Linked DNA regions of Elephas maximus indicus. The protein of the gene in region 4 purifies or fractionates together with the protein of the main gene of each other region. This does not show direct contact. Links are inferred from orthologs where the notes say so. Each region holds a gene or a part of one and is shown on either strand. Other genes may lie near its edges.

The links.
Region 1: the proteins of CHCHD4 (region 4) and GFER purify together in Homo sapiens (co-immunoprecipitation; 3 studies listed by BioGRID and IntAct, with this or other methods). This does not show direct contact. The link is inferred for Elephas maximus indicus from reciprocal best matches to the Homo sapiens genes CHCHD4 and GFER.
Region 2: the proteins of CHCHD4 (region 4) and SSNA1 purify together in Homo sapiens (co-immunoprecipitation; 3 studies listed by BioGRID and IntAct, with this or other methods). This does not show direct contact. The link is inferred for Elephas maximus indicus from reciprocal best matches to the Homo sapiens genes CHCHD4 and SSNA1.
Region 3: the proteins of CHCHD4 (region 4) and TOR1AIP1 purify together in Homo sapiens (co-immunoprecipitation; 3 studies listed by BioGRID and IntAct, with this or other methods). This does not show direct contact. The link is inferred for Elephas maximus indicus from reciprocal best matches to the Homo sapiens genes CHCHD4 and TOR1AIP1.

The regions. Positions count from the first base shown.
Region 1 is NC_064830.1:59,085,840-59,092,776, forward strand, and holds the start of GFER (FAD-linked sulfhydryl oxidase ALR), read left to right. Parts: upstream 1-3,933; 5' UTR 3,934-4,034; coding exon 4,035-4,295; intron 4,296-4,676; coding exon 4,677-4,873; intron 4,874-6,183; coding exon 6,184-6,346; 3' UTR 6,347-6,937.
Region 2 is NC_064827.1:1,041,143-1,048,103, forward strand, and holds SSNA1 (microtubule nucleation factor SSNA1), read right to left. Parts: upstream 2,206-6,961; 5' UTR 2,174-2,205; coding exon 2,122-2,173; intron 1,661-2,121; coding exon 1,461-1,660; intron 1,020-1,460; coding exon 912-1,019; 3' UTR 507-911; downstream 1-506. Other genes in the region: anaphase-promoting complex subunit 2, read left to right, coding at 2,395-2,511, 2,813-3,435, 4,395-4,527, 5,529-5,703, 5,902-6,021, 6,447-6,564, 6,790-6,961. UniProt on the Homo sapiens protein: Microtubule-binding protein which stabilizes dynamic microtubules by slowing growth and shrinkage at both plus and minus ends and serves as a sensor of microtubule damage, protecting microtubules from the microtubule-severing enzyme SPAST.
Region 3 is NC_064842.1:42,820,140-42,827,169, forward strand, and holds the start of TOR1AIP1 (torsin-1A-interacting protein 1), read left to right. Parts: upstream 1-4,025; 5' UTR 4,026-4,026; coding exon 4,027-4,504; intron 4,505-7,030. UniProt on the Homo sapiens protein: Required for nuclear membrane integrity. Induces TOR1A and TOR1B ATPase activity and is required for their location on the nuclear membrane. Binds to A- and B-type lamins. Possible role in membrane attachment and assembly of the nuclear lamina.
Region 4 is NC_064838.1:39,929,501-39,936,332, reverse strand, and holds the start of CHCHD4 (mitochondrial intermembrane space import and assembly protein 40), read right to left. Parts: upstream 3,016-6,832; 5' UTR 2,836-3,015; coding exon 2,814-2,835; intron 1-2,813. Other genes in the region: TMEM43 (transmembrane protein 43), read left to right, coding at 3,368-3,379.

The DNA.
Region 1 (6,937 bases), on a different chromosome or scaffold from region 4:
ACTGCTCAAGCCCACTAGGGCCTCCTTGCTATGAGGACCCTGCCACCCACTTTTACACCCGCCCAAACCCACGGCCTCCTTCCTCGGCTGGGGTACTTTCTTCCTCTGCTCAAACTGTGCTGGCAGGCATTGGAGGGCCCGTACTGCTGCTCCCGCGCGGCGGTGTCCCCCTCCCGCACCTGGCCTGGGGCCACCTCCTCCAGGTAGGGAGAGGGAAACCAGGCCATCTGTTTGTCCTTGTTCTCCACCAGGCACCAGCCTGTGCGCCAGTGCGGCGGGGTTTCAGATCCCGAGGCCCGCTGGGATCAGGGGCAGAGGGCAGCCCAGACTCCTCCCCAGCCCTACCCGAGGGTTGTCGCAGTAGCACATCCAGGGCCTCCCGGGCCTGCACATGGAAGGGTTGGCCCCGTGTGTCCTGGGTGCAGTAGGCAGTGCAGTCTCTGGTCCTCCAGGCTGCGGATGTCAAGCCTGCCCACAGGGTCCGGCAGAGGCTCCTTCCGGGCGGTCGGAATCACCAGGCTGAGGAGGATTGCAGGTGATAGGTGGGAATGGACCCACCATCCCCACCTCTCACAAATCTGCCCAATCTCCCAGTCTTTGCGTGACCCCTCCTACCCATACACCCTGTGCTTCCCCATCCTCCAAATGCCTCTGTGGCTGGGAGTTGGGGTAGGTCAGGCACCTGCCGGGTGGCAGCGTGGGCTACAGGTCCAGGATTTGCGGCGCGAAGAAGCTGTTGAGCGCCAGGCGCCGGGACACGCTTTCTACCGCCATCAGCAGCATCTGGACATAAGCCTCTAGGAGCCGGAGGCAAGCCAGCCCGCGGCCCGTGCGTCCCCCGCGCGCCAACAGCGGCACGTGTGGGAGCAAGACAGGAGTTGAATGTGGGACCCCGTCTCGGGGTCCCTCACCCATGTCCCAACCCCCCCGGCCTGACCAGGAAGCGCGGGGAGAATGAGGTTGGATCTGCGCAGCAGGCCCGCCTCCATCTGGAAGGCCTCTTGAAGGGTCTTCCGCGGCAAAAAGCCGGCGGATAGGTCTCCGAGAGCTCAGGGGTCCTCCGCGACGGTGGGGCCGAGTCGGGACTGTAGGGGTTGGAAGCTGCGGGGCACAGGAGAGCCCGTAGGCGGGGGTCACTCGGGAGTCATGCATTGGAGGCAGTTCGGGGACTCGGGGGTCGCCCCAGGGTCACTCACGTGGAGCTTTCTGAACTCTTCGCGACGCCTGAGCACGAAAGTGTCACCGCCTGTCCTACCAGCGCACGGAGAACTTCTGAGGGAAAAAAAGTTGGGGATCCTCGCAGGGGCGGGGCCAGGGACTACACCTTCCCCTTTGGGGCTGCCAGTGACCCCATGGAGTACCTGGAGTCTCCTGGTCTGCACCAGGGCGTAGACGCGCACACACACCACGTATCGGGGGCCTGCCATGGCTGAGTGGCTGAGGCTCAGTGGTCCCTGCCTCCTCCCTGCCGGCTGGGGGCTCCCAGGAACAGGCAGGGCTGGCCAAAATTCCCTGACAAGGCCCGAAGTTGGCCAGGCTTGTCACTTGGGGAGGTGTTCAGCTGTGGGTCCCTCGCAGGCTCCCCCCACTGCCCCCTAACTCTAAGATATGGGGGGCAGGAGCACAGGGCTGGGAGGCCCAAGGCAGAGGCCCTGGAGGTATGCACGACTTTGTGTCCTGAGGAAGGGGCGGTGGAGGGACTGGAACTGTGGGTGAGGCCCTTCTGTCCCAGTCTGGCAGTGGAAGGAGAGGGAAGGGCTGGCAGTCCCCACATCAAAGTGCTGCCTGGCCCAAGCTTTCTCTCCTCTAGTGCAGGGCTGGGGCCAGGAGGGCTTCCTGTAGGTGGACCCCTAGGCTCTGTCTTTGTACGTGCCTGTGGAGCTGTCTGCAGTTGCATCGGGAATATCCCTACCCAGTGCTAGGGGCTTTAGAGTCCTTTGTCTCTTTTAATGCTAAGAGAACAGTTCTCTTAATGCCCCCAAGCCACAGATGAGGAAATTCATGTTAAACTGATAATTAATGTGAGTTTTTCTGTACATGTGCACATGGGGGGTGGACCCCCACAGGCTCACCCTAAGTTTACCACATGGTAAAGAGACTTGGGCCAGAAGGAAAAGGGGGAGGTGGCAGGCAGCCAGGCTTGTTCAAGGAGCAGCCTCTAAATTCATAGTTTGTCACAATTTACTGCAAAGGAAAATCCCACCCTTAGCCTTTGAGGGCAGAAGTGAGCATTCCCCCACCAGCCTGGGCAGTGGGGCGGGGAGGCTGTGGAAGCCCTGGGCAGAGGCTTGCCTGGGTGCCCACCACTTATAGGGGAAGTGCCCCACCTTCTTATAGAGGAGACTTCCGGAGCCCCATCCAACCCACAGGAAGAGCAGTGATTCTTCCTGGAACTGGGGACCCAGCTTTCTCAGGAGTCTCTGTTCCCTAGACATTTCTCCAGGAATTTGCCCTGGCCTCATCATTTTCTTTTTTCATCAAAAGGCCTTTGTGTGTATGTGTGTCTGTCTGGCCAGAGGACCCCCCCCCCCCGGAGCCCTCACACCTGCCCTGGTCTCCACCCAGGTGATGAGCACCTGCTGACACAGGTCTGAATCAAAGCTTGATTTCAACTCAGCTATCACCCTCCATCCATCCTCAGGAGACCATGCTGAGGGTCCAGAGCCTGCTTCTCTGGAAGAGAGAAGAGAGAAGCCAGGGAAAGGTGAGGGCTCACTCGTAGCCAGCAATCTAGGGGAATGCTATGGCCCCTCCTGATCACAATGCCCAACCCCATCAACCCTGGATCCTCCCCACTCCCTTCCTCTCCACAACCACTACCCACCACAGCTCCTCACTGCCAATGCTGTCCCATAAAACCCTCTCCCCATATGACCTTTGCAAACAGAAAACAGATTATGTCCACTGGTTCTTCCCAGAACCATCCAGCACCTTCCCAACACCCTTAAATTCCCAGTCCCACAGAGGCCAAGGTCCTGTGTGACAGCCCCTGCCCACTCCTGGACCTCCCTTCTGGTCACCATCACCAGCATCCTGCTACCTCGGGCCCTGGGCCTTGACTGCCCTCCTCAGGCATTATTCATCACCCTTCAGGTCTCTACTGAAGGGTCACCTCCTCAGTGGCTTCCTGAATTTACCATGCCCTGTACTGACTCGACAGCACTGGGTTTGGTACATGCCCCTACCCACTGTTTGTAAGTGAATATTTATTTGTGTGCTTCTGTGTTGGTTGTTTCTGTCTTGACCATTGGACTATGAGCTGAGGCCTTCAAGGGTGGAGCCTTGTTCCTGTTCTGTCCAGCACCTGGAACAGTCCTTGGAACAAAGAAGACCGGCACCAATATGTGCAGAATGAATGAATGACCATAAGGAAGCTGAAGTAGGCTTGAGTCCGTTCCTCGGGAGGGTTTAACCCCTTATCCAAGCTGTAGGGTCCGAGGAGGCACTGCCCTCTGGAGCAGATGGGTGCGCGCAGCAGCCGAGACGCGCACTACCTTTTTGGCCGTTAGGGCCCCGCCCCGCGTTGCCAAGCGCCCGTTGCCAGGTGCCGGGGTATTGCGCCGGTGGGCGCACCACCAGTCTCAGGAAAGGCACAGAGCCCGGCTATGGGCACCCGGGACAGTCCGAGTGCAGCGATGGGGTCTTCGCGGGCCTCCACCTGGACTTCGCCTGCGCCTCAGCCCGAGCCCAGCGCGCCGCGCCGCAGCTTCCACACCACACTGGTCTTTTACTGGAGGAAGCGGGAGCGCCGCTCCGCGCAACGGAAGCCGGGCCCGGGACGCGGACGCAGGCCGAGGGTCGCGGGCAGGGTGCTGGCCTCCCGCCCCGCCGCCGCCGCAGGGGCCCGGACCCCCGTCCGGGAGGCGGCCTCCAGCCCCGCCCCCAGCCCCAGCCCCAGCCCCAGCCCCAGCCCAAACCCAGCCGCCACGCCCGCAGCGCGCGTCCCAGGCTCATGCGGCGGCGCGCTGACCTGGAGGCCAACCTGGAGGCCGCTCTGGAGGCCGAGCTGGCCCGGCAGCCCTTGCGCGAGCAAGATGGCGGCGCCCGGTGAGCGGGGGCGGTTCGGCTGCGGGGGACTTTTCTCTTTCCTGCCCGGCGGCGCGCGCTCCGAGGTGGTGGACGACCTGGCGACCGACGCGCGGGGCCGGGGCCGGGGCGCGGGGCGCAGAGATGCCGCCGCCCCCGCCCCGACGCCAGCTCTAGCGCAGATCCCCGAGCCGCAGGAGGACGCCTCCCGGAGGCGGCCCTGCCGGGCCTGCGTGGATTTCAAGACTTGGATGCGGACGCAGCGAAAGGTGCACGTGCCCAGGGGCGCCACCTCCCGGCCGAGGCCTGTGAGCCCCGTCCGACCCTCCAGCCCCCACCCGCACACCCCCCTCGTCCCCTGCCTCCTGAGCCCCCTCACCTTATTCTCAGGTGCCCCTGGGAGACGCCCCAATAGGCCGAGGCCGAGCGGTCCGATAGGCCTCATTCCTGACTTTTGCCTATCCGCTATGCCTAACTTTGACCCCCTCAAGGTAGGCCTGGCCTTGTCTGTCTCAGCCTCTCATGGGCTGAATCGGCTGCTGAACTGCTGTCTGGAGAGAGTGGGCCTCCGAGTGGGGCAGGAAAAGGTGAGGTTTGCGCTCTTTTGATTGAGGAGATTGAACTGACCCTTGGTCTACTTTTTTCTGCAGCAGGAGAGCAAGTTTAGGGAGGATTGCCCTCAAGATCGGGAGGAACTGGGCCGCCACAGCTGGGCTGTCCTCCACACCCTGGCTGCCTACTACCCCGACCTGCCCACTCCGGAACAGCAGCAAGACATGGCCCAGTTCATACACTTATTTTCCAAGTTTTACCCGTGCGAGGAGTGTGCCGAAGACATAAGGAAGAGGTGAGTTGTGTGTGCACAGGTGAGAGCATTGAACCGAGAGGCCTGAGTTGGAGGTGATGTCATAGGGGAGAACCTAGAAATACGTGGAGGAGCAGCAGAGGGTGGCGAAGGAGCTGGGAGCTCAGCAGAGTGGGGATTAGGTTCTTGGGCCATCTCTTTTCCCCCTCAGAGGCCAAACTGCCTGGGTCTGCTGGAAGATACTTCCTGTTGTACCACAAGGCTCTCAGGAGAGCCTTCTCAATGCAGTCTCTCACTTAACCACAATGACGACTGCACTCTGCCTGACTTCTGGAGCAGGGCTGCTGGCTTTCAGACCTTGGGAACCCACTGCTTTTGCTCCTAGGCTTTGGTGTGTGGCCCACCCAGGTGTCCTCTCCCACACCTCTGGCAGGGCCTTCTCAGAGCTTCCACGTGTGGGGTGGGACAGCCCTGGCTGTCTGAAGCCTGCGCAACAGAGCAAAGTCTCTTGCTGAGGTGAGGCAGCAGGGCCTCGGGTGCCAAGAACTGCCTGGTTTTCAATTATACCTGCTGTGTCTGGCTCATGAGGCCAGGGAGGCTGGGGTGAGGCTTCCAGGTTCTTAGGAGATTGTAATGTTGCCTGCTATGCTCTTTAATGTCTTGCCTGGGGCTTGCATTAGGTTTGCTAAGGGCCATGGGTGGGGTTTTTGGTAGCGGTGTTTTTTCTAGTTTTATTGTGGTTAAATAGGTATAACATGAAATTTGTCGTTTTAATTATTTTGTAAGTGTACAATTTGCCATGTTCTATGACCATCACAGCTGTCCATTTCCAAGTTTTCATCCCCCAAACGAAAGTCTGCACCCTTTCAGCAGTGATTTCCTATTTTCCTCCGTCCAGCATCTAACCCAAAAAACCAAACCTATCGCTGTCCAGTCAATTCTGACTCATATCAACCCTATAGGACAGTAGAACTGACCTATAGGGTTTCCACGGAGTGTTTGCTGGACCCAAACTGCTGACGTTTTAGATAGCAGATGTAGCTCTTAACCACTACGCCACCAGTAACTTTTAATCTGCTTTCTGTTTCTGAATGCGTTTGTTCTAGATGGTTCGTATAAGTGGTATCATACACTATTGGACCCTGGGCAAGTTTTTGAGCAGACTGGGAGCCCACCAAGGCCCAGGGCTCTGCAGGGTCAGCCTTCTCCTGGGAATTTGCTGTCCCTTCCTTAGGGGTTTCTTCTTGGTGTAGTTCTCAGCAGCCTTCTTCCCTCAGGAGCAGACTAGGTGCTGGCTGGGGGCAGGGGTAGGGCCAGCTGCCCCCTCCATCATCTCTGTGCTCTGCTCTTAGGATATGCCAGAACCAGCCGGACACGCGCACTCGGGCACACTTCACCCAGTGGCTGTGCCACCTGCACAACGAGGTGAACCACAAGCTGGGCAAGCCAGACTTCGACTGCTCACAGGTGGATGAGCGCTGGCGCGATGGCTGGAAGGACGGCTCCTGTGACTAGTGGGCGGGTGTAGGAGCCAGCTGGCCACTGCAGTGGGTGGAGCGTTCATTAAAGTGCATCAGAGCCAGAGCCTGTCCCATCTCAGTTGGGTGGCCCCGGGACGCTACCCACGGGGCCTGCCCTCTCAGGTCGGGAGGTGCCCGCGGCAGACACCCCCATGGCCTTCCCTCAGCTGAGGGCCCGCAGGGGTGGGAGCTGCAGGTGAGTGAGGCAGGAGTGGCCTGGGCTGCCCCTGTGCCAGATGGGATGTGGCCTTCTGCCCAGAAATGGAAGGGGCAGCCAGGAGACAGGCCTGGCTGGGCTTCCACGCGTCCACCCCACAAGGCCAGCCTGCTGCCTCGTAACCGTGTAGCCAGTGACTCTACAATGTTCTGGCCAAAGCATTTATGTCCTGTGTGCTTCAGGGAGGTGGCCTGGGATAGCTCTCCACCCTGCTCAGCTTCCTGCAGGGAGAGCTCAGCAGGATATTTCTGGAGACCTACACACAGCATTGTCCGTGGCTGGCCAGGATTGCCAGCAGGGGCCGGCTGCCTCTGAGGTTGAGACCAAAATAAAATGTTGTGGAACTGACTGAGGACCGGGCTGCCTGTG
Region 2 (6,961 bases), on a different chromosome or scaffold from region 4:
GATGAAGGATGGGGCCCAGCAGCGCAGGGAAGAAGAGAAGTGGACAGAAAGGGTGTGAAGCTATAAGGCCTGTGTTCAGAGGAACCAGCGTCCAGAAGGGGGCTGGCGTGCACACTCAGCCATTTCCAACTGTCCTTGGGCCCGGCTATGGTGTGGCAGAGAGCACGACCAGCAGATGAAGGCCCTCAGAGAAGGATGGGCTGTGTCCTGGATTTGGGGGAAAGTAAGTGGGGGTCGGGTGAGACAGGGATAGAGCAAGTGGCCGTAGGTGAAGCAAAGGTCTGGGGCTGACATCTGCAGGTAGGCGGAGGAGGGTCATGGGAGATGCCCAGTGGCACCCTCTGCATCTGAGACTGGGGCTCTCAGTCACAGGGAAAACCACTCCAAGTCCCCTTTCCCTGCCCCGCCCCATGGAGGAGCCACCATACCCAGCCAGAACCTTTGTGGGCTAGCTCTGGGGGTGGCAAGCAGCCCCATGTACTCGACACAGGCACAAGCCAGCACGATTCTTTACAAAGAAAGCCTTTATTCACACAGTCACGGGGCACTAGGAACAAGCTCTGAGGTCTCAGTTCTGAGGCAGAAGAGGGCCCAACCACTACCTCACTTGCCTGGGCCCCTGCTGGCCAAGGAGGGACAAGGGAGGCAGAAGTCCTGGGGGTTGAGACTAGAACCAGCAGCACAGGGAGGCGTGGAGGTTTTGGAGTGCCCTCCCCAATTGCTGCCTGCTGGGAGCACCACGGAGCCAGATCCCTGCCTGGTAGGCTACTTTTCTCATCCAGAGCTAACAAAGGCTGCAGCTGCCTTGATACCAAAGACAGGAAAAGAAGGTGGCTGCTGCCATACAGAACAAAGACGCTTTATTAACAGGTTTCCTGGGGGCCAAGTAGCCTGGCCCACCCATGGCCTCGTCAACTGTCCTTGCCCCCACTGGCCTTCTGCTCCGAAGCCGTGGCCTTGGTCAGGTTCCCAGCTTCTCTCTTCAGGACACTAAGCAGAGTCTGGGAGCTCTCCAGGATCTGAGACCAAAGAAAACACAGGCTGGTCATTGATGCTCCCGCCTGGGGGGTACCCGGGGACAGGCAGGGCCTGCAGGGGCCTCTTCCCTCCCCAGGTCTGGCCAGTGCTTTGTTCTCTGCCGGCCCCCCGTCCATCACACACCGAGCAGAGTGAACCTCAGGAACAACCGTGGTAGGAGAACATGGGCTGGGACACACCATGTTCCACAGACAGCATTCTCCTTTCCTCAGTGGGCCCAGCCGAGATGTGGGGAAGATGCAGACTGCTCGCTGGGACCCCTTGCTCCCACAACTGAATGCCCCTGTGCTGAGCCAGGGTCCGGGGAGGGGAAGGGAAGCCTCTACTCAGGAAAGCCCCCAGTCCTGAACCCCCTAGGCACTCAACGCTTGCCCACACAAGGGATCGGCCTGGCCTGTGGCCCCAGCTGCCTCGAGTCCCACCTTGAGGTAGGCAGCTTCCGTCTCCGCGATGGTCCGGTCAAACTCGTTTCGAGAGGCGATCTTTCGAGCCAGGTTCTCATTGACCCGGGCCAGCTTCTCCGTCAGCTGCCTCACCTCGTTCTGCAGCCGCTGCTTCTCGTCCTCTTCCTGCTGGATCTGGCGGCACAGCTCCTCGCGCTTCTGGGACAACTCCTCGATGCCTGGGGCGGCAGGAAGGAGAGCAAGGTCCTGGCTAGGCCGCCTTCCCTCCAAGGAGGGCCAGAGTCCTGCCTCTCGGGGGCCTCTGGATACAATAAGGCGGTGGACGTGGGCGACAGCGCTGTGCCTGGGAGGTAGTGCTCACTACAAACACGCGGCACTCAGTGCGCACTCGGTGCGCACCAGGCGCTCTCCCACGCGCCTTCCACGCACAGTGACCGAGCTGGGCGGGTCCTAATGTACCGCTAGGCCCACCCTGGGGCCAGGAGGCCACGCACGGACTCGGCGCGACACTTGCCCACGGCCACGCAACTGCTTGGCGGCCGCGCGCCTACTGCCTGGGGCCCCGCCGCTGGGCCGCCGCCTCCAGCGCCCCGCTGCGCCCGGGCGGCTGTGCCAACGCTGGCCCAGGCCCCTCCGCGGGCTACGACCGCCCGGGCTACACGGCGCGGGACGTGCTCACACTTGACCAGCTCGTTGTTGTAGTTCTGCAGCGCCGCTCCCTGCTGAGTCATCGTCCCGGACACTCGCCCCTCCGCCGCCGCCGCGGGGATCCCGGTCACTCCAACCGCCGCCGCCGAGCACTCGCCTGCGCCTGCGCAGTGCGCACCGAGAGCGCGCCGACCTGCAACGTCATCGCCGCGCGCCTCTTTTGCGTCATCGCCCTGCGCCGCGCCCGGCCCGTGCGTCAAGGAGCCGCGCTGATCCGGGCGGACCCGGGAGCCGGTGGGCCCAGATGGCTGCAGAGGCGGCGGGGGCGAAGGGGGACTGCGACCCCGCGCCCGGACAGGAGCTGTTGGTGGCCTGGAACACCGTGAGCACCGGGCTGGTGCCGCCGGCTGCGCTGGGGCTGGTGAGGCCCGGAAGAGAACGGCGGGCTCGCGCGCGGTCCCCGCGAAGCTTTAGGGCCTCCGCCTCTGTCCATCGCCCGTCTCTGCCCTCCCGCCCTCCTCCACAGTCCCGCATCTTTCGGCTCCCTTGCCAGCCCTTCCCAGCGTCGGCGCCACATCGGCGCGCTGCGGCCGAGGAGCGGCGGGGCTCGCGCAGCCTCCCCTCCGCTGCACTGCCCGCCTTTCCCGCCTGCCGCTCCCCTCCCCCGCCACGTCCACTCGCAGCTCTGCGTTCCCCTCTCCTCACGGTTGTCTGCACTGTAGGCGTCCTCTCGGACCAGCGGTGCGGTCCAGCCAAAGGAGGAGGAGCTCCGGGCGGCTGTGGAGGTTCTGCGGGGCCACGGCCTGCACTCAGTCCTGGAGGAGTGGTTCGTGGAGGTGCTGCAGAACGACCTGCAGGCTAACATCTCCCCCGAGTTCTGGAATGCCATCTCCCAGCGCGAGAACTCCGCGGACGAGCCCCAGTGCCTTCTGCTGCTCCTTGACGCTTTTGGCCTGTTGGAGAATCGCCTGGATCCCTACCTGCGTAGCTTAGAGCTCCTGGAGAAATGGTCTCGCCTGGGATTGCTGATGGGCACTGGCGCACAGGGGCTGCGGGAGAAGGTCCACACCATGTTGCGGGGTGTTCTGTTTTTTTCCACTCCCAGAACTTTCCAGGAGATGATCCAACGTCTCTACGGGCGCTTCTTGAGAGTCTATATGCAGAGTAAGAGGAAGGGGGAAGGAGGCACCGACCCAGAACTGGAGGGGGAGTTGGATAGCCGATATGCTCGCCGCCGTTACTACCGGCTCCTGCAGAGCCCACTCTGTGCTGGGTGTGGCAGTGACAAGCAGCAGTGTTGGTGTCGCCAGGCCCTGGAGCAGTTCCACCAGCTCAGCCAGGTCCTGTGAGTACTATGCGTGTGGCCACGCCCCTGGGCCTCCTGATTTCCCAATTGTTCCTCTGGGTCTGGCTGCAGAGAGCTGGTCAGCTGGCCAGGGGCATCCCAGAGGGAGGGGGCCCTGGCACCCTTGGATGGTGAGTTTTGAGCCTTTGGTCTTGGACCAGTTGTATCTCTTTAGTTTTTGTGCACAGCCCAGGAGTTGACACTTTGCCCACACTGAGACCCTATGTGACTTGTGCGTGCAGCAGATTTCTGTCCCCATTCCAAACTTACTGGCTCCCCAGAATTCTGCTGTACTGCCTGTAGGCTAACGGGAGTGTACGTAGCCTGTGATTGTGGTTGCTGTGCCAGTGGGTAACAAACAGGGGGCTCACCATTTCTTCTGTGCTGAGCGTGTCAGGCAGGCAGATTTGTGTCCCCATTCTCTGGGAAGGAGTTCTTGTTGGCTGCAGCCAGGCTCTGCTGTCTGCTCCCTCCAGCGCGGTTATGATTTCTGTCATGTTGAGCAAAGTGGTTGCGATGCCGTTGTTTGGAAGGGGTCTCTTAGTTAGATTTGGATCAAGGGAGTGGTCCCGCTGCTGCCAAGGGCCCTAGAGGCCCTGAAGGGCTTCTGCTAGGCTCATCCCAGTTGAAGGTTGTATGGAACGCTCTTTCTTGTTTCCTCGTGAGTAGCTTTATTTTTCTAGACCAGCGTTCGTGCTGAAAGGTGCAGACGGTGGTATCTATGTTTACGTGGCCCGGGTAGCAGTGATTCAGTTGCTGTTTCCGAGCCAGGCCAGGGAGATGGGGCTTGGGCCTCTGGTAGCTCCCCTGCCGCCACTTCCTACGGGAATGGCCATCACCCCAGTCTGGGCAGTCCAGCTGGGCAGGCCAAATGGCACCTCGCCAGTGCTCTGTTCTCCCAGCAGCTTTTCCACAGAGCCCTGGCACAGCTGACACTGCACACACTCGTCTGTTCTCAGACACAGACTCAGTTTGCTGGAACGGGTCAGTGCCGAGGCTGTGACCACCACGCTGCACCAGGTGACCCGGGAGAGGATGGAGGACCGCTGCCGGGGCGAGTACGAACGCTCCTTCCTACGGGAGTTCCACAAGGTATCGCCGCCTTTGCTCCGTCCCCTTTGGAAGTGTGCCAAAGTGCAGAGACGGAGTGGGCTGGGACCTCGAAGGTAGTTGAGGCCATTCCGGGGGCTGCACTGATCATGTTGCATCCACGACGTGCTGGGTGAAGTCTTAGCGGAATCACACGGTTCGAGGCAGTGCCAGGGCCAAGCAGCGGTGTGGCCAGGCCCACCTGAGAGGGACAGACTGATCTCCTTTTAGCTGCGCCCCCCGGGGACTGACCCCTTGCAGCCAGCCTGCATCCCAGCATGGCCTGCGCACCCCCATGGGGCAGAGGAGGAGGGGCAGGAAGAGAAGAGCAGCCAGGGCAATGGGGGAGACTGGGGAGACAGCCTGGCAAGGTGGGGTCGTATCCCAGGGTGGGCCTCATGGTACTGTGCCATCCACAGACAGGCTTGGGGCTCTCCCAGAGCTGGCGGAGAGCTGGGACCAACCGTCGTGGCTCCCTGCTTTTCACCTGTTCTCACTCCGCCATTTCTGAGGGTCGCTCTCCAAAAATGACGGTTAGCATGGTTGAAGGAGGTACAATAGGGGTCCTCCAAGCAGTGGGCAAGAGTGGTCATGAGCCCTGGCAGCCCAGCTGGGACGAAGTGCAGATTCCCAGATACTGGAGTGAGCCGGGGACTCAAGGCGCAGCAGCCCAGGGCAGCTTGGGCTGTCTCTGTGGTGTTAACCCCACCCACGTCTGGGACGCCTCTCAGCAGGATCACACGTACACACACACACAGGAGTGACTTTGTCCCGCACTGCTTTGTTTGTGAAGGGCAGGGCACTGGTAACATCTGTGTCCTGGAGGGGTGTACCCACGCGGTGCATGCAGCGTGTGAGTGTGTGTGCAACTGTCTCACTCACGTGTGACATCAGTGTCAGTGGAGATGAACAGGGGGGCTGACGTGCATAGAGGGGGCTGGAGTCAGGGCCTGGGGCGCCCGTGCGCTGCCAGCCTCCACCTCACAGCCGTGCCTGCCCCACAGTGGATCGAGAGGGTGGTCGGCTGGCTTGGCAAGGCGTTCCTTCAGGATGGCCCTGCCAGGCCCGCATCCCCGGAGGCTGGCCACACGCTGCGCCGCTGGCGCTGCCATGTGCAGAGGTTCTTCTACCGCGTCTATGCCGGCATGCGCATCCAGGAGCTTTTCAGCATCATCCGAGGTCTGCCTGCCCTCCTGGCCTTCACTGCCCGTCCTCCAGGCCCATGTCCATCCGTCCCGGGTCTCCTTGTCTTCCTGGGGCCGGTCGGGGTTGTGGCATGGGCACACACGTGTGAGCGTCGCTGCAGAGTCCCAGGGAGGCTGCTCAGCCATGCTCGGTGTCTGCGTATCCTGTGTGTGAAGGGGCCTCTCCCCACAGACTTCCCAGACTCACGGCCAGCCATTGAGGACCTCAAGTACTGCCTGGAGAGGACCAACCAGAGGCAGCAGCTGCTCGAGTCGCTCAAGGCGGCACTGGAGACCCGGCTCCTGCACCCAGGTGCTGCACTGTCTCGCCACAGATGGCACATCCCAGCCACGGGCGCCCCCGGGCCTTCGGGGACTAACGAAGCTGTTTTCTGAAGTCCTTTAGGGGGCAGGGTGGCCCCCGCCCCATTTTTTGAAATTGAGTTTGGTTTGGGGTGATGCCCTCAGGAGAGACTGCTTAATGGGGAAACAGTCATCCTTATAAAGCTTTGAAGAAGGCAGCTGGGGGTTCGAAGGAGGGGGTTCCCTGATCAGGTTGCCAGGCTCTTCTGTGCACAAGTTCAAGGTGGTGTGCTAAAGACCATCTGACCGGGCTGTACCATGTGAACACATGGGGGTTGCTGTCCAGGGTGTGGCCAGTGGCAGGGAAGGGCGGGCAGTTTGGCCTGACCCCACTGTCCCACAGCCCCTGTAACCATTTGATCCCTCTGGCTGCAGGCGTGAACACATGTGACATCATCACGCTGTACATCTCTGCTATCAAGGCACTGCGTGTGCTGGATTCTTCCATGGTCATCTTGGAGGTGGCCTGTGAGCCCGTCCGCCGCTACCTGAGGTGAGCTGGCCCGCCAGCCAGAGCCTGTCCTCCATGCGTCTCAGTCCTGCTGCTCCAAATGACTTGCAGAACAAGTTCGCCAGGCCCTTGTATGCCCCTGGCCATCAGTGATGTGCAGACTGGCCTGTGGTTCAGTCACCCCGGGGCCAGATGCCAGCCAGAACAGCCCCACTCAAATGCCTTGTGCATTTGTGGTGATGGTGTAGATTGCTTGTTTCCTGGCAGGACACGGGAGGACACAGTGCGGCAGATTGTGGCCGGTCTGACTGGGGACTCTGATGGGACTGGGGACTTGGCTGTCGAGCTGTCCAAGACTGACCCTGCGAGCCTGGAGACTGGCCAGGACAGTGAGGATGACTCTGGTGAACCTGAGGACTGGGTTCCTGACCCTGTGGAT
Region 3 (7,030 bases), on a different chromosome or scaffold from region 4:
TAAACCGTCGACTGTCAAATGTGCGGGGAGCCTTCGAGTGTTCTTCCTGCTCCACAACACTGGGCTACACCCCACGGCCGCAGCCGCTAAATACCGTTCCTGTCCCCTGTCCCCTGCTCACGTGACGGCGACCTCCGCCGGGAGGCGCCCACGGCATGCTGGGACTAGTAGTCTCCCGGTCTCTCCCCTCCCTTCTCTTTCCCCCTCTCTTCCCCTCCACACCCTAAACCCCAGCAGCCAGCGGGGCGCTGGAACTAAAGACTTGGTAAATGCGCACAACAGAACCGCAGACATCCCAAGATTCTTATGCTGATTGGTACCTGACCAGAAGCCAGGCATCTCTACAAGACGTCTGACGCCCCTGACCCCTTAAGGATCTGAAATTCATAGGCTGGAAAAACCCACAGAACCATGACAGTGAGAGGCGGTACCAAATGATAACGACAAGCACCAGTCAGACTTGGCTTAGAATCCGGCCTCTGCCATTACTAGGTGTGTCTTTTCAAGTTGCTTAACCTAAGCCTCAGTCTGCTCGTGCATCAAGTGGGGCCAATACTACCTGACTAATACGGTTGCTGTGAGTAAATGAGATGACGTAGAGAGCGATAGCTGCTAAATGATATTAGTGAATGATCAATAAAAAGGAGGTATTATTTTGACCTATTAATTTTATAAATGTGAAAACTGGAGGAAGGGAAGTGATTTGCCCAAGAACATATGATTGGTTAGGGGCAAAGTAAATTAAGTCTAAAATTCAGGTTTTCCAGTTTCTGAACATCAGTGCAAGACAAAACAGAAGATATCTACTCACTTCTCCAAGTAAATAGCCTCCTTTGCCATGACACTTATGACCAACACACTATTTTTGATTTTTGTCTGACTCCTCCCTTAGAGGAAACCCTGGTGGCGTAGTGGTTAAGTGCTAAGGCTGTAACCAAAAGGTCGGCAGTTCAAATCCACCAGGCGCTTCTTGGAAACTCTAGGGGGCAGTTCTACTCTGTCCTATAGGGTCACTATGAGTCGGAATCGACTCGACAGCAGTGGGTTTGTTTTTTTTGTTTTGGTTTCCTCCCTTAGAATATAAACTTCAAGAAGTCAGAAAGGGATTTTTGTTAGTCTTTTGGTCTATTTTGTTTACTGCTGTATCCACAGGACCTAGAAAGGCAGGGACTGGCCAGTACATAGCAGAAGTGCAAATATTCACTGAATAACCCCTATAGTATTTGATTTTTAGTGCCTTCACCTCTCTGATATCTTCTTTTAGCAGAAGTCACAGGATTGGGAACACCCTTAGATTCTATTCATTGACTAATTTCTAACTGAACAAAGAATATGGAGAATATGTATTATATTCCATTCACCTCATTAAGTTTTCTTAATTTCAGCATAACATTTCCAGCAGATGTTTTCACTTATCTTAAGAGTCCTTAAAATGTTTTTCTAACACTTGTGAGAATGGGGGGGGTGGAGCCAGTTACTATATCCTTAAAATTTACTTCCTCTTATTTAATATTTTATTCACCTTTCCTTATTAAAATTAACATTATCCTTTTCTAAGATAGAACCCCAAAGGTATTTCCCTGTACGACCAGAAACGTTGCGAATATTATAGATGTTTACTTGGTAAATAACTGGATTCCTACTTTTTGTTAGGTGCCATCAAGTTGATTTTAGCTCTTAGCGACCCCGTGTGACAGAATTGTTCCATAATGCTTTCTAGGCTGTAATCTTTACAGGAACAGATCCCCAGGTGTTTCTCCTGCTAAGTAGCTGGGCGGGTTCAAAACCGCCAAGCTTTAAGTTAGCCACTAAGTGCTTAACCACTGCACCACCAGGGCTCCTTAGAATTTGTTTACCCTAAACAAAAAACTCATGTACAAAAACAATTTTATCTGTAAAGTTACTAGGTGTGGGAGGCAGTTACAGAAAAGCTGGGATTATGTATCCTTATTACGTAAACAGAGGGAAAATCCTAAGTGAATGTGACTCCACTTTTAAGATTCTCATGATTCATTTATTCTGAAAGCTGTTTTTAAGCATTTAAAAGCATTTTAAGTTACAAATTAATATATGTGATTATTCAATAATATATAAAAGCTCTCATCATTCTCTCTTGTAATATCTCCTCCAAACCTAAGTTTTATAAACCTGTATCCACATTTCTATATAGTCACCTTCCTGGTAAATGTTTCAAAGAGGCTCTTAATGTTTTAATAATCATAATATGAACTTTGTGTATTAATAAAGTTTTATATCTTTTAATAATACCTATTAACAAACATTTACTGTTATGTGTTAATAATGAGTAATATACTAACCATGCTATAGAGAAGGCATTACTTAAATAAAATGTAACCAATGTGGCTGAATAGTACTATACAAATTGTTAAATGGGAACCTAATTTGCAGTGTAAATTTTCACCAAAGATACAATACGTATTTTTTAATTAAAAGAACCATAAATAAAAGCCAATTGTTACCAAGTATTATTACTTTTCTGCATTGTGTCCTGCAAATTTTCCACATGTACCACCTAACCCAGGCTAACAAGGGACAATACCTGTTTCAATTTCCCTTAAAAGATTAAAAAAGGAGGAGGAAAACTCCCTCTCTTTACTTTTCCTCCAGCTTATAATAAACGAAGCTAAAATAAGCTAAGCTCTTAACGGGCTAAGAGACTCTCTAAAGCATGTAATTCCTTGTATCTGTAACCAAATTTAGACTATTAGTGAAAGCATAATACACCTAAAAAAAAAAAGACTTAATTAAATTGAAATTTGGCCCAATTTTGAGCAAATGAGTATAATAAACATTCTAAGGTGATTAAGTAAAATACTTGAAAGAAACCTGTTAGCACCTTCAATTTTTTCATAATTATTCATTGTAATTGGTATCCAAATTACGAATTTTTTTCATCTGCTTACTACAATCAACCATAAAGCCCTCCAAGCAGACAAGAGTGTATATAATACAGCTTTCTTTCAATAATTATTCAGACTTAATCGATTTTCCCTCAGCTTACTAAATTTGGTTAATTTGCTGATTATCCAAATCTCTAAGCGTGGTGGGGAAACAAATGGCTTTTATCGTGTTTTTTTTACTCAGTAAACACAGGAACTCTAAACCAAATGCACTATATCAAGCCACGCCCAGGATCAAAATGAAAATAATGGGTCACAACTTAAAATACAGCACTGCCTTTAATAAAAAGTATTTATTTCTCACTGTGCATAACGCAGTACTACGAACCTGCTGTTGGAATAGAGCTTATATTCGAACGTATGCTATGCACGCATCTCTAAAACGGAGATCCACCGAGTTCGACAGTAGATACGACTTTGTACACTCTTAACGGGTGACTTAAAACTGGGTGACAGCCTTCATAAGAAACTTGAAATTTTAAGTTTCGCCGTGAAAAGAAGACATGTGCCAAAGACGTAAGCGTCACTCTTGCCAGGGACACTTGAAAGGGTATGGCCACGGTAGCGGTCGATCAAAAGACATCCCAGGAAAACTGCGCAACAGCCTGAAGTCGAGGACTGAAACAAGTCTTCACCCTCGTCCCACTGGCTTTTCCCAGACGCTCGGTCCAGGGGGCCATGACAGGCGTCTCCTGCGCGCAGCCAACACCTGCCGGCAGCGCCGGGCTTAGGACAGGCAATTTGCGCAGCCACTTGTCCCTTTTTGTTGCCCCTTCCCCTCCCTCCCTCAAGGCCGAGGACAGCAACGTCCTCCTCCTCCTTCTCCTCCTCTTTGGTGCCTCCAGCCAGGAGGCGGGAGTGACCCACAGCAGCTGACCCAAACCAGGCACTGCCTCTCCCACAGCCCACAGGAGCCACCATGGGCCCAGAGGCGGGTTTGCAGCACTGCAGCGACGACGCAGGTGGCGGCCCCGGCGACTCTCAGCTACCTCCCTGACCACCGCAACCACTGCCCAACACCCCGAGAAGCCATCGCCACCACCGGCAGGAGGATCTAAGCGCCCCAAAGGCACCTTCGCAATCGGCTGAAGATACGTCAACAACTATGGCGGGCGACGGGCGGTGGGTGGAGCCGGTGCGGGAAGGATGGGGGGTGTACGTCACGCCCAGGGCCCCCCTTAGGGAGGGAAGGCGCCGGCTTGCTCCTCAAAATGGCAGCGGCAGTGACGCGTCGGCGTACGGAAGTTCTTTTCCATCGCGCCACGGCCGGCGGGAAGTGAGGTTCTCAGAGGAACCGCCAGAAGTGTACGGCGACTTCGAGCCCCGGGTGCCCAAAGGAAGGCCTCCGCTAGGAAGACGAACCTCGCCAGAAAAGTTCCGGCCTGACTCCGCGAAAGAGGAACTAAAAGAAAGCTCCTACTACCTTCGGTCTCGGCAGCGGAGGCAGCCGCAACCCCAGGAAGCCACGGAAATGAAGGCACGAAGGGCTATCCGCTTACAGCAACAGCTCTCGGAGCAGTCTCTGCCACAGCCGTCTCCGGTTATGACCAGGAGAGGGTTACGGAATTCTTATTCCTCCGAAGGTGAGAACGATGGAGGTAACGTTTTAGCCGCTAGCCGGGGAGCGGGAGAACTCGCTGTGCGCGCTCGCGGCGGCTGTGCGCCTCCGCGGGGCTCGTCCTGGCGAGGAGACTCGTAGCTCCTCGGGCCCGGCTAGATGTGCGCCCCCGCCCAGGGTCCGCCCCAATCCGCGGGCGGAAGGGGAAGCGAGCTGGGGGAGAGGGGCGCTGGCAAGAGGGCGGGAAACGAGGTCACAGGGGACTACTGAGGCAGAACCGAGGAGCTGCTGTCCACCCCTGGGCATCACCTCAGGGGAGTCAGGGTTGCCCCTGTCTGCACGTCTCCACAAGGGGGTGGCGAGTTAGGCGGCAGTCGGGACCCCGAATCATTCCGGTGGTCTCAGTTTTCATTTCCATCCCCTTTGCCCTGAGTATGTTTCTACCAAAGTCACTACTATTTTTTTCTTTAACTCTCAAAGGCCACAAGTCCCCAGCCCAGGATCATGGTTGTAATCAAACTTTACAGTCTTTTTCCATCCTCATCCTGGTGAGGGGGGAGAGGGGAAATTTTGAGAGCGTGGGTGTTGCTAGGGATAACGGAGTTGGTGAATTAACTTGAGACCCCACCCAAATCCATACACCTAGATGAGGTCAGTTATCCTGAACTGAAACTCTCCAATGCCTGATAAACTTGTGCGCAAGTATCCTGGTGTCTGCCAAAATTTGCCACCTTAAGAGGCCCTCCGTCTAGCCTCAGTGGTAGCAAGAGTGTTAATTAGGAAGTTTTCTTCTAAATGGGCCAACAGGATGCTGGCAGTGTGAGTATATTGCCGTCGAGTCAATTCTGACTCATAGCGACCGTATAGGACAGAGTAGAAATGTCCCCATAGAGTTTCCAAGGAGCAGCTGGTGGAATTGAACTGCCTACCTTTTGCTTAGCACCCGAGGTCCTTCTAAATGGGCCAAAAGGATGCTGGCAGTGTGTGTAGTTTAGGTAAGTCACAGGTGAATCAACTCCTTAACCCATCCTCTCCCATCCTGACTGTGGGGATTTAACAGAGTCACAGGTGAAGTTTCATCTTAGCCCTTTGTAAGGCACCCGTGAAACAAATCGCGGCGGTGGGGGGCGGGGGAGTGAGGTTTCAGTCACAATGGGATGACATAGTGTAGACCATTGTTGGCTATGAAGAGGCAGTGATTTTCAGCATAGAGCTGTTATAGGCTATAGACACGTGAAGTGTTTACACATTTGAAGGCTTGTCGATTTTGGAAGGTTCGTGTTAAAGATATGTAAGTTAGTAGAGCCTGTATGTATCTATATATATGGAAACCCTGGTAGCATAATGGTTAAGAGCTATGGGTGCTAACCAAAAGGTCGGCAGTTTGAATTCACCAGGCGCTCCTTGGAAAGCCTACGGGCCATTCTCCTCTGTCCTTGCAGGTCACTAAGAGCCAGAATTGACTCGATGCAATGGGTTCGGTTTTTATATGTGTGTGTATATATATATCTGTTTTAAGATTATAAACTTACTTAAGACAAAGATCCTAACACATGTATTTGAAGGATCATGTTATACTTCAGTCTTTATGCTAATTCTGTATCTCCTTCAGTACCCTGATGGCACAGTGGGTAAGCCTTTGGCTGCTAACTAAAAGGTCAGCAGTTGGAATCCGCAGTTGCTCCTTGAAACCCTATGGGGCAGTTCTCCTGTGTCCCATGGGGTTGCTGTGAGTTGAAATGTCTTGAAGGTACAGTACAGTACTTAGGAGAATGCTTTGTGCATGGTAAACAATAAATACATGTTACAGTGTACTGACTCGTAACCCAAGTGCTTAGGCTAAATTTTTTTTCCCTTTTTTTGACTAGTAAGGAATTTACTTCAGTAAATCTATAAGAATCTAAACATTTTTCACTCTTCCGCTTTCTGCCGTGTAATTTTTGATGATTCTAGCCTATGGTTTTAAATTTTCTGAATATATTTTTGTTATAAAGCGCCAGTGGTGAATAGTTTATTTTTATATTCTGATGAATTCATTTTTTTTTTTAATATTGTGATTTTGGAGAAAGTTTACATAGCAAATTAGGCTCTCATTTAACAATTTCTATACATATTTATTCGGAGCCCTGGCAGCATAGTGGTTAAGAGCTCAGCTGCTAACCAAAAGGCCGGCAGTTCAGATTCACCTTGGAAACCCTACAGAGCAGCTCTGCCCAGTCCTTTAGGGTTGCTATGAGTTGGAATCGACTCGATGGCATCGGGTTTGGTTTTTATACATATTATTCAGCGACATTGGTTATACTTTTCACAATGTATTGGCATTCTTATTATTTCCATTGTGATTGTTCTGTTTCCATTAATCTAGCATCCTTGTCCCCCTTACCTTCTCATCTTTGGTCTAGGGTAAATGTTGACCGTTAGGTCTCATTTAGATTGTTTAGAGGAGCACAGCACTTACGGGTTATATTATTTATCTTATGAGCCACTCTGTCTTTTGGCTGGTAAGTGTTCTCTGGGAGTGGTTTGAAGGGTATCCCAGGGCGATAGTCTC
Region 4 (6,832 bases):
AGCAGTCAAGAAATCCAAAGATGCACTGCACTGGGCAAATCAGCTGCAAAAGATGTTTTTAAAGTGTTGAAAAGCAAAGATGTCACATTGAAGGCTCAGGTGCGCCTGACCCAAGCTGTGGTGTTTTCAACTGCCTCGTATGCATACAAAAGCTGGACAATGAATAAGACCGAAGAACTGACACCCTTGAATGGTGGTGTTCCCGAAGAGTATTGAATATACCTTGGACTGCCAAAAGAATGAACAAATCTGTCTTGGAATAAGTAAAACCAGGATGCTCCTTAGAGGCACGGATGGTGAGACTACATCTCATATACTTTGGACAATGTTATCAGGAGGGATCAGTCCCTGGAGAAGGACATCATGCTTGGTAAAGTAGAGGGTCAGCAAAAAAGAGAAGACCCTGAACAAGATGGACTGACACAGTGGCTGCAACAATGGGCTCAAGCATAACAAGGATCGTGAGGATGGCGCAGGACTGGGGCAGCGTTTCGTTCTGTTGTACAGAGGGTCGCTATGAGTCAGAATCAACTCAAGGGCACCTAACAACAATGACAACTGTTGGTGCTTTAATGCCCCTCTCTTCCACCAGATGCCAGGAAGGCACAGATTGTGTCACCTTTGTCACTAATATATGTCCAATGGCTGGCACATACAGATGCTCAATATTTGATGACTTAACAGGAGAGGGCAGGCTCAGTATTAGGAAGAGAAGAAACCAAAGAAAGGAGCAGTGTGGAGCTGACGGAGAAGTACGGGTGGCCCAAGGCCACAAAGCAAGGCTGAGTTCACACTGCAAAACACCTAGAATACCAAGCTAAGGCCTTTAACCTGTAGTAACAACTAAAACAGGCCTGCAAGTGAGTACTTTCAATTCTCATCTCCAAACTAAGGAAGAGAGAGACCTCTGAACCAGGAAAAGACAGGGCTTCACGCTTTGGTGGCAGAGGGACACTGCCCCTCCTTCCCAGAGAACCTGTGACTGCTGTAAACTCCTCAAGAACAGAAGAGGTGTTATTTATCTGCACAGCCTCACTGTACCCAAGAGGGTCAAAAATGATTTGTTAAATGAAGTAAACTTGAGACTAAGAGAAAGGGAGTTAAAAATAGGACAAAGGACTTACTGTCTAACATAAACTGGTTAGGGCAGAGGACTTTCGTTTATGGCAGACTTAATTATTAATCAGCAGGAAACAGTGCTCATTAGAGACATTAGAAGGAGCCCTGGTGGCGCAGTGGTTAAATGCTCAGCTACTAACTGAAAGGTCAGTGATTTGAACATAGCAGATACTCTGCAGGACAAAAATGTGGCAATCTTCTCCCACAAAGATTACAGCCTTGGAAACTCTAGAGAGCAGTTCTATTCTGTCTTATAAGGTCATTGTGAGTCAGAGTCGATGGCAATGGGTTTTTAGAGACATCAGTGAGTATTATGGCTTTATGATCCAGGGAAGGAGGAAAAGTTCCAGAAGCAGGCTGGGGTATTGGGGAAAAGGCCTATCATTCTACGAGGAGCTCTGCCCCTAACTGGCTGCATGCCCTTGGACAGGTGAGCCCCTTTTCTGGGCTTCAGGTTTCCTGAGTTAAACTGAGGGGACAGGACTATTGACCAAAAAATCTCTGGGTGAGTTCCGACTCTCTGGAATTTTATATTCTTAAGTGTCCACCGGCCCTGCACAGAGGTGTTTCATGATTATTTGCAGAATGAATGAAGCTCAACTTCTCATTTTACACCACTGGAAAGTGGGGCCGGGAGGAATTAGATGGCAGATCAGTTAGTGGTAGCATATGAGGAGGCACTGGTACCATCTAACCTTCCAAGCTCTGGCCTAGTGGTAACAACAGGGAAACAGAAAGGCGTGAGTGGTGACCCACCTTGTCGGGGGAGGGGAAGCCTTCCTGGCCTAAGGCTCCTGGGAACCCAGGCTCCAGATTGGATAGTGCAGTTCAGATGCCAGGGCTCATACCCACCTCCACCACATACTGGCCATGTGATTTAGGCCAAGTCACTTAAACCCCTCTGTGCCTTAATTTACTCTTCGGTAAAATGGGGATAAAAACAGGAGCTGACTTAGATCGCTGAAAGGCCAGTGAAATAAACTATGTAACAGCTCCTTGAACAGTGCCTGACGTAGTAACCAAAACCAAACCCGCTGTTGTCGAGTCGATTCTGACTCATAGGGACCCTACAAGACAGAATAGAAGAGAACTGCCCCATAGGGTTTCCAAGGAGCGCCTGGTGGACTCGGCCTGCCGACCTTCTGGTTACCAGCCTAGCTCTTAACCACTACACCACCAGGGTTAGTAGGGGCTAACAAGTGTTCCCGCCAGGGGTACTTCTACCACTCCTGCACAGCATCTGACCCGAGGGGCAACTTTTCGGGACAGGAACAAGGCGCATGCAGTATGGAAACACGTGGTTTGTGGTGAGAGTGACTGTAATAATTAATACTAATAAATTCCCAATTACGGGCCAGGAAACGTGCTCAGCATTTCTCGTGCACCCTCCGGGCCTAGTTTATGAATCTCGCACGTGCTGGTTCCTCTGAGGCCAGGGTTCAAGACTCTCCATGACCTTGGACCAGCCCCGTTCCTCCCAGAGCCTGGGTTTTCTCATCTGCAGAATGGGGTGAAGACTCTGCCGCCCAGACCGCCCCCTAGGGTCCCGAGGACGGCGCCCAGGACTGCGCCTCGGGTTGCCGGGCCGGCCGTGGGGTCGCGGGGCGCCCGGGCCTGCGGGGGCTGTCCGGGTGCCGTGTCCCCTGCAGGCCCTCGTAGGCCGGTCTCCACGGCAGCCTGCTCGTCCTCCCTACCTTCTTGCCGGCAGTAGGACATGGCGGCAGCCGGGCACTCAGACTTCGCAGCCCGAGCGGCGGTGGCGGATCCACGCCGTGACCTCCTCTCAGGTAGGGCGGGCGGCTCCGAGGCCCGCGCGGGCCCGCCCCCTCCAGGCCTGCCCGCCGCGCGCCTGCTTCCGCGCCCTCCTAGCTTCAGCCCGGCCCCTCAATTGAGAACTACATTTCCCAGGAGGCTGCGTGTCCCATGGCCCCTTTCCAGGCAGCAGAAACTACATTTCCCAGAAAGTCCTGCGATGCGCATGCGCACGAGTGCGGTTCCGCGCATGTTGCAACTTTGTGGCGGAAGCCTGTGACTCCGGGCTTTCCACGGACTGCATTTTCCAGGAGGCTTTGCGGCGCGCGTGCTCAGAAGAATGGGGGCGCCTGGGGTGGTAACTCTGTAGCAAGTCCCGCCTTGTCCTGGACCCCACGCCGGCATTTGCAGCTCCCGGCCGGCAAGAGGCCACTGGATTCCGGTTGTCAGCTCTAGCTGAGCAGAGCGAGGAGGCGGCGACGAGCCAGGTGCCACGATGGCCGCGAACGTGAGTGTCTCCTGCTCACCCGGGCCACACCCAGACTTGCCGTCACCCAGGGGCCTCCGGTTCCTTTTGTTCGTCTGACCGCTGTCTGTCTACCTCTGCACGGTTGTGTTCATGCCGCTGGCAGCTCGTCAGCCTGTTGATCTATCTTGAATCTCTCCATCCTCCGCTTGTCCATATTCTTTAGCCTAGCTCATCCTCGGGTCGCGCGTTTGTGGGGAGGGAAACCCGGGAGGTGTCGCTTCTGGCAGTGGCATCTTGTTGAGCGCGGCGCCTACCTGAGGCCCTACATTTCATTCCCAGTTCCCTCCTGGGCACTTGTTGTTAGTTAGCATCGAGGTGATCACGACTCGTGGAGACTCCATGTGAGCAAATTGGGGTTCTCAAACTTGCAGAATATGAGAGCTGGAGGGGACCTCAGAGAGAGGCCTGTCTGTGGGGAGGGCGGGGTGGCCGTTCCGGCCCCAAGTGGAGCTCTCCACCAACGGACAGGGCTGGCCCGACGGTAAGTGAGGTCCCCGTTCTAGGGATGTATGCACATCGAGGCCGTGATGCAGCAAAGGGGCTCGGGTTGAGCTGGGGCGCAAGAGTTAGGATTATGGTGAGAAGGCGCATTTCCCAACTGCCGGATCCGCCTGCTTCTAGAGGGGATTTGATTAAAGAGGCCTTGGCTGAAGGTGGTTCCCTTCCAAAGGCTGCCCTCTTCTCTTTGCAGCCAGCCTTTCTCAGGAGCTTTTCTATTTACGCCCAACGTTCATTCGACAAAGGGAGGAGCAGCACCTCCTGCAGGGTGCTGGATTGGGAGAAGCTGGTGACTCACCACTCCTCTGTGTGAAAGTGCTTCTGTAGCCAGCCTGGGCATCCTGCCATCCCCACACACACCCTCCCTCGTGTTTTGATGGAGTGTTCCAGCCACCGTCCCCTGGCTTGTTACACCCGCTTTCCATACCCTTTCTCTGTCCCTGAGCATTCTCTGCTTCCCACGCCCCCTGAGAGACCAGGGTTTGTCACCCACAACCCTAGCACGCTCTGCTTCAGGTTAGTGTTGCCCTGGGAGTGTGGGGGATAGAAGCCTTGAGCTGAGGTGGTCCGTGGGCTTTCAGACCCAGAGGCCCAGGGTCTGCTGTGAGGAGGGTGCAGCCAGGAGGCCATCCCACTCCCAGTAGGTGGATTCTTGGCTGCCCCTCCCCTCACCATATTTTACAATGTGGAACTTCCCAGCAGGCAGAGGCACTTGCTCCAGGGAATGGTTTTGTCATGGGAAGGTGCTGAAGAGGTGCCTTTGGAGTCAGGCAGCCCTGAGGGCAGATCCAGATTCTTCTGCTCAGTAGCTGTGTGGCCTTACTCTCTCTGGTTTATGTTTCCTCGTCCGTAAAATGGAATCAGTAATGGTTTCTCTCCTATAGCTTGCTGTGAAGTTTAAGCCAGACTGCTCAGCACAGTGCCTGACTCATAAACCAAAAAAACCAAACCTGTTGCCGTCGAGTCAATTCCGACCCATAGCGACCCTACAGGACAGAGTAGAACTGCCCCATAGGGTTTCCAAGGAGCGGCTGGTGGATTTGAACTGCTGACCTTTTTGGTTAGCAGCCGAGCTCTTAACTACTGTGCTACCATGCCTCCGCCTGGCACATAAACCTTTTGCCATTAAATTGATTCTGATTCATAGCGACCCTTATAGGACAGAGTAGAACTGCCCTGCACGGTTTCCAAGTAATGGCTGGTGGATTTTGGCTAGCAACCCAGTTCTTAATCACTGTACCACCTAGCACATAAAAAAAAAAAAAAAAGCACATAGTAGGTACTTAATATATGGAAAAAAGAAATTCTGTCCTCATAGTTGCTGGACTGTGTCTATCTCCCTGTCCTGGTTTGGGCAGAGACCGTCTCACATATGTTGGGACCAGACACTTTGTCAGGTAACAGACTTGCTTAGCTATCCTTTGCAGCCAAGCCTTGGTTTATTCATCCAGTAGCTGGGTGCACATTTACAGGAGCTACCAGGCTGGAGTCGGAATCAACTCGACAGCAGTGGGTTTGGTTTTTGGTTTACTAGGCTGGTGAAGAAGAAAGATCTGAAGAGGGAAGGGTGGATCAGAGAAGAAAAGTGACAGAATTCATAGCCATATAACAACTGTCCTGTGAGGGAGGTACTATACCATCTTATTTTATAAGGGAATGTCATGGATTGAATTATGTTTCCCCTAAAATATGTATATTAACTTGGCTAGGCCATGATTCCCAGTATTCTGTGGTTGTCCTCCATTTTATGATTGTAATTTTATGTTAAAGAGGATTAGGGTGGGATTGTAACACCCTTACCAGGTCACATTCCTGATCCAATGTAAAGGGAGTTTCCCTGGGGTGTGGCCGGGAGCAGAGCAGGTCCTTTAGGCTGGGGGTTCCTGTGCAGAGTAGCTCCTAGTCAAGGGAAAGATTGAGGAGAAAGACCTTCCTCCAGAGCCGATAGAGAGAGAAACCTTCCACCGGAGCTGATGCCCTGAATTTGGACTTCTAGCCTCTTAGATTGTGAGAAAATAAATTTATGTTTGTTAAAGCCATCCACTTGTGGTATTTCTGTTATAGCAGCACTAGATGACTAAGACAGGGAATAAACAGAATTAGAAGAGTGGAGCAACAGCCAAGGGTCACAGAGCCCATGATTTGCAGAACTGAGGTTTAAATCCAGTTCTGTCCTATTCCAAGGCCTGGATGTGGATCTCGGTTCCTACCACGTTGTCTCTGAGCCCTGAGAGCTGGGTATGTGTCGTTGGGGATAAATATGCCTCCACGTTTACTGGGAATATCAGTTCAGAATGCGGACTGTGTGTGTTGTGTCACCTCCTACCCATAACCCTAGCCTGGGGGGACCCCCTGTGCTTCTTTTCCCTCCCTTCAAGGCCGTCTTTGAGCCCCTTCTCTTGATACTGGCTTCTCAAGGTAGCTGAGGGGAGGCCAAGGCTGGGGCTGCCCTCTCTTCTTTTCCGTCACTGCCCACGGCTGGCTCCCAGGGTTCAACTCACATTACAGCCGAAGAAATGCAGAATGCAGTCTGGAGCAGAGCAGTAGGAGAGTGGCCTCCAGTCTGCCTGAATTTGAATCCTAAATCAGTCCATCTTTTATTGACTATGTGATCTAGGCAGGTGACTTAACCCCCAGCCCTTGGTTCTCTCATCTGTGAAATAGGAGTAGTGATGGCACCCACCGCCTTGGGATTGTCCATGACGGGCATGTGGTAGACAGGGATGTTTACCATCTTTGTTATGGTGAGTAACTCCACTAATGTTTCCAAATGGCATGGAAAGTCAAGACCATTTCTGGACACAATGGACACCTAGTCCCTGACAAGCCTGTGGTGGTGGCATTCAGGGACAAGCAGAAGAACTTGGTATCCGCTTTGTTGAAGCAGAAATTCTGTCTTGAATCTCTCCATTGACACCTCCCCCCCACCCAACT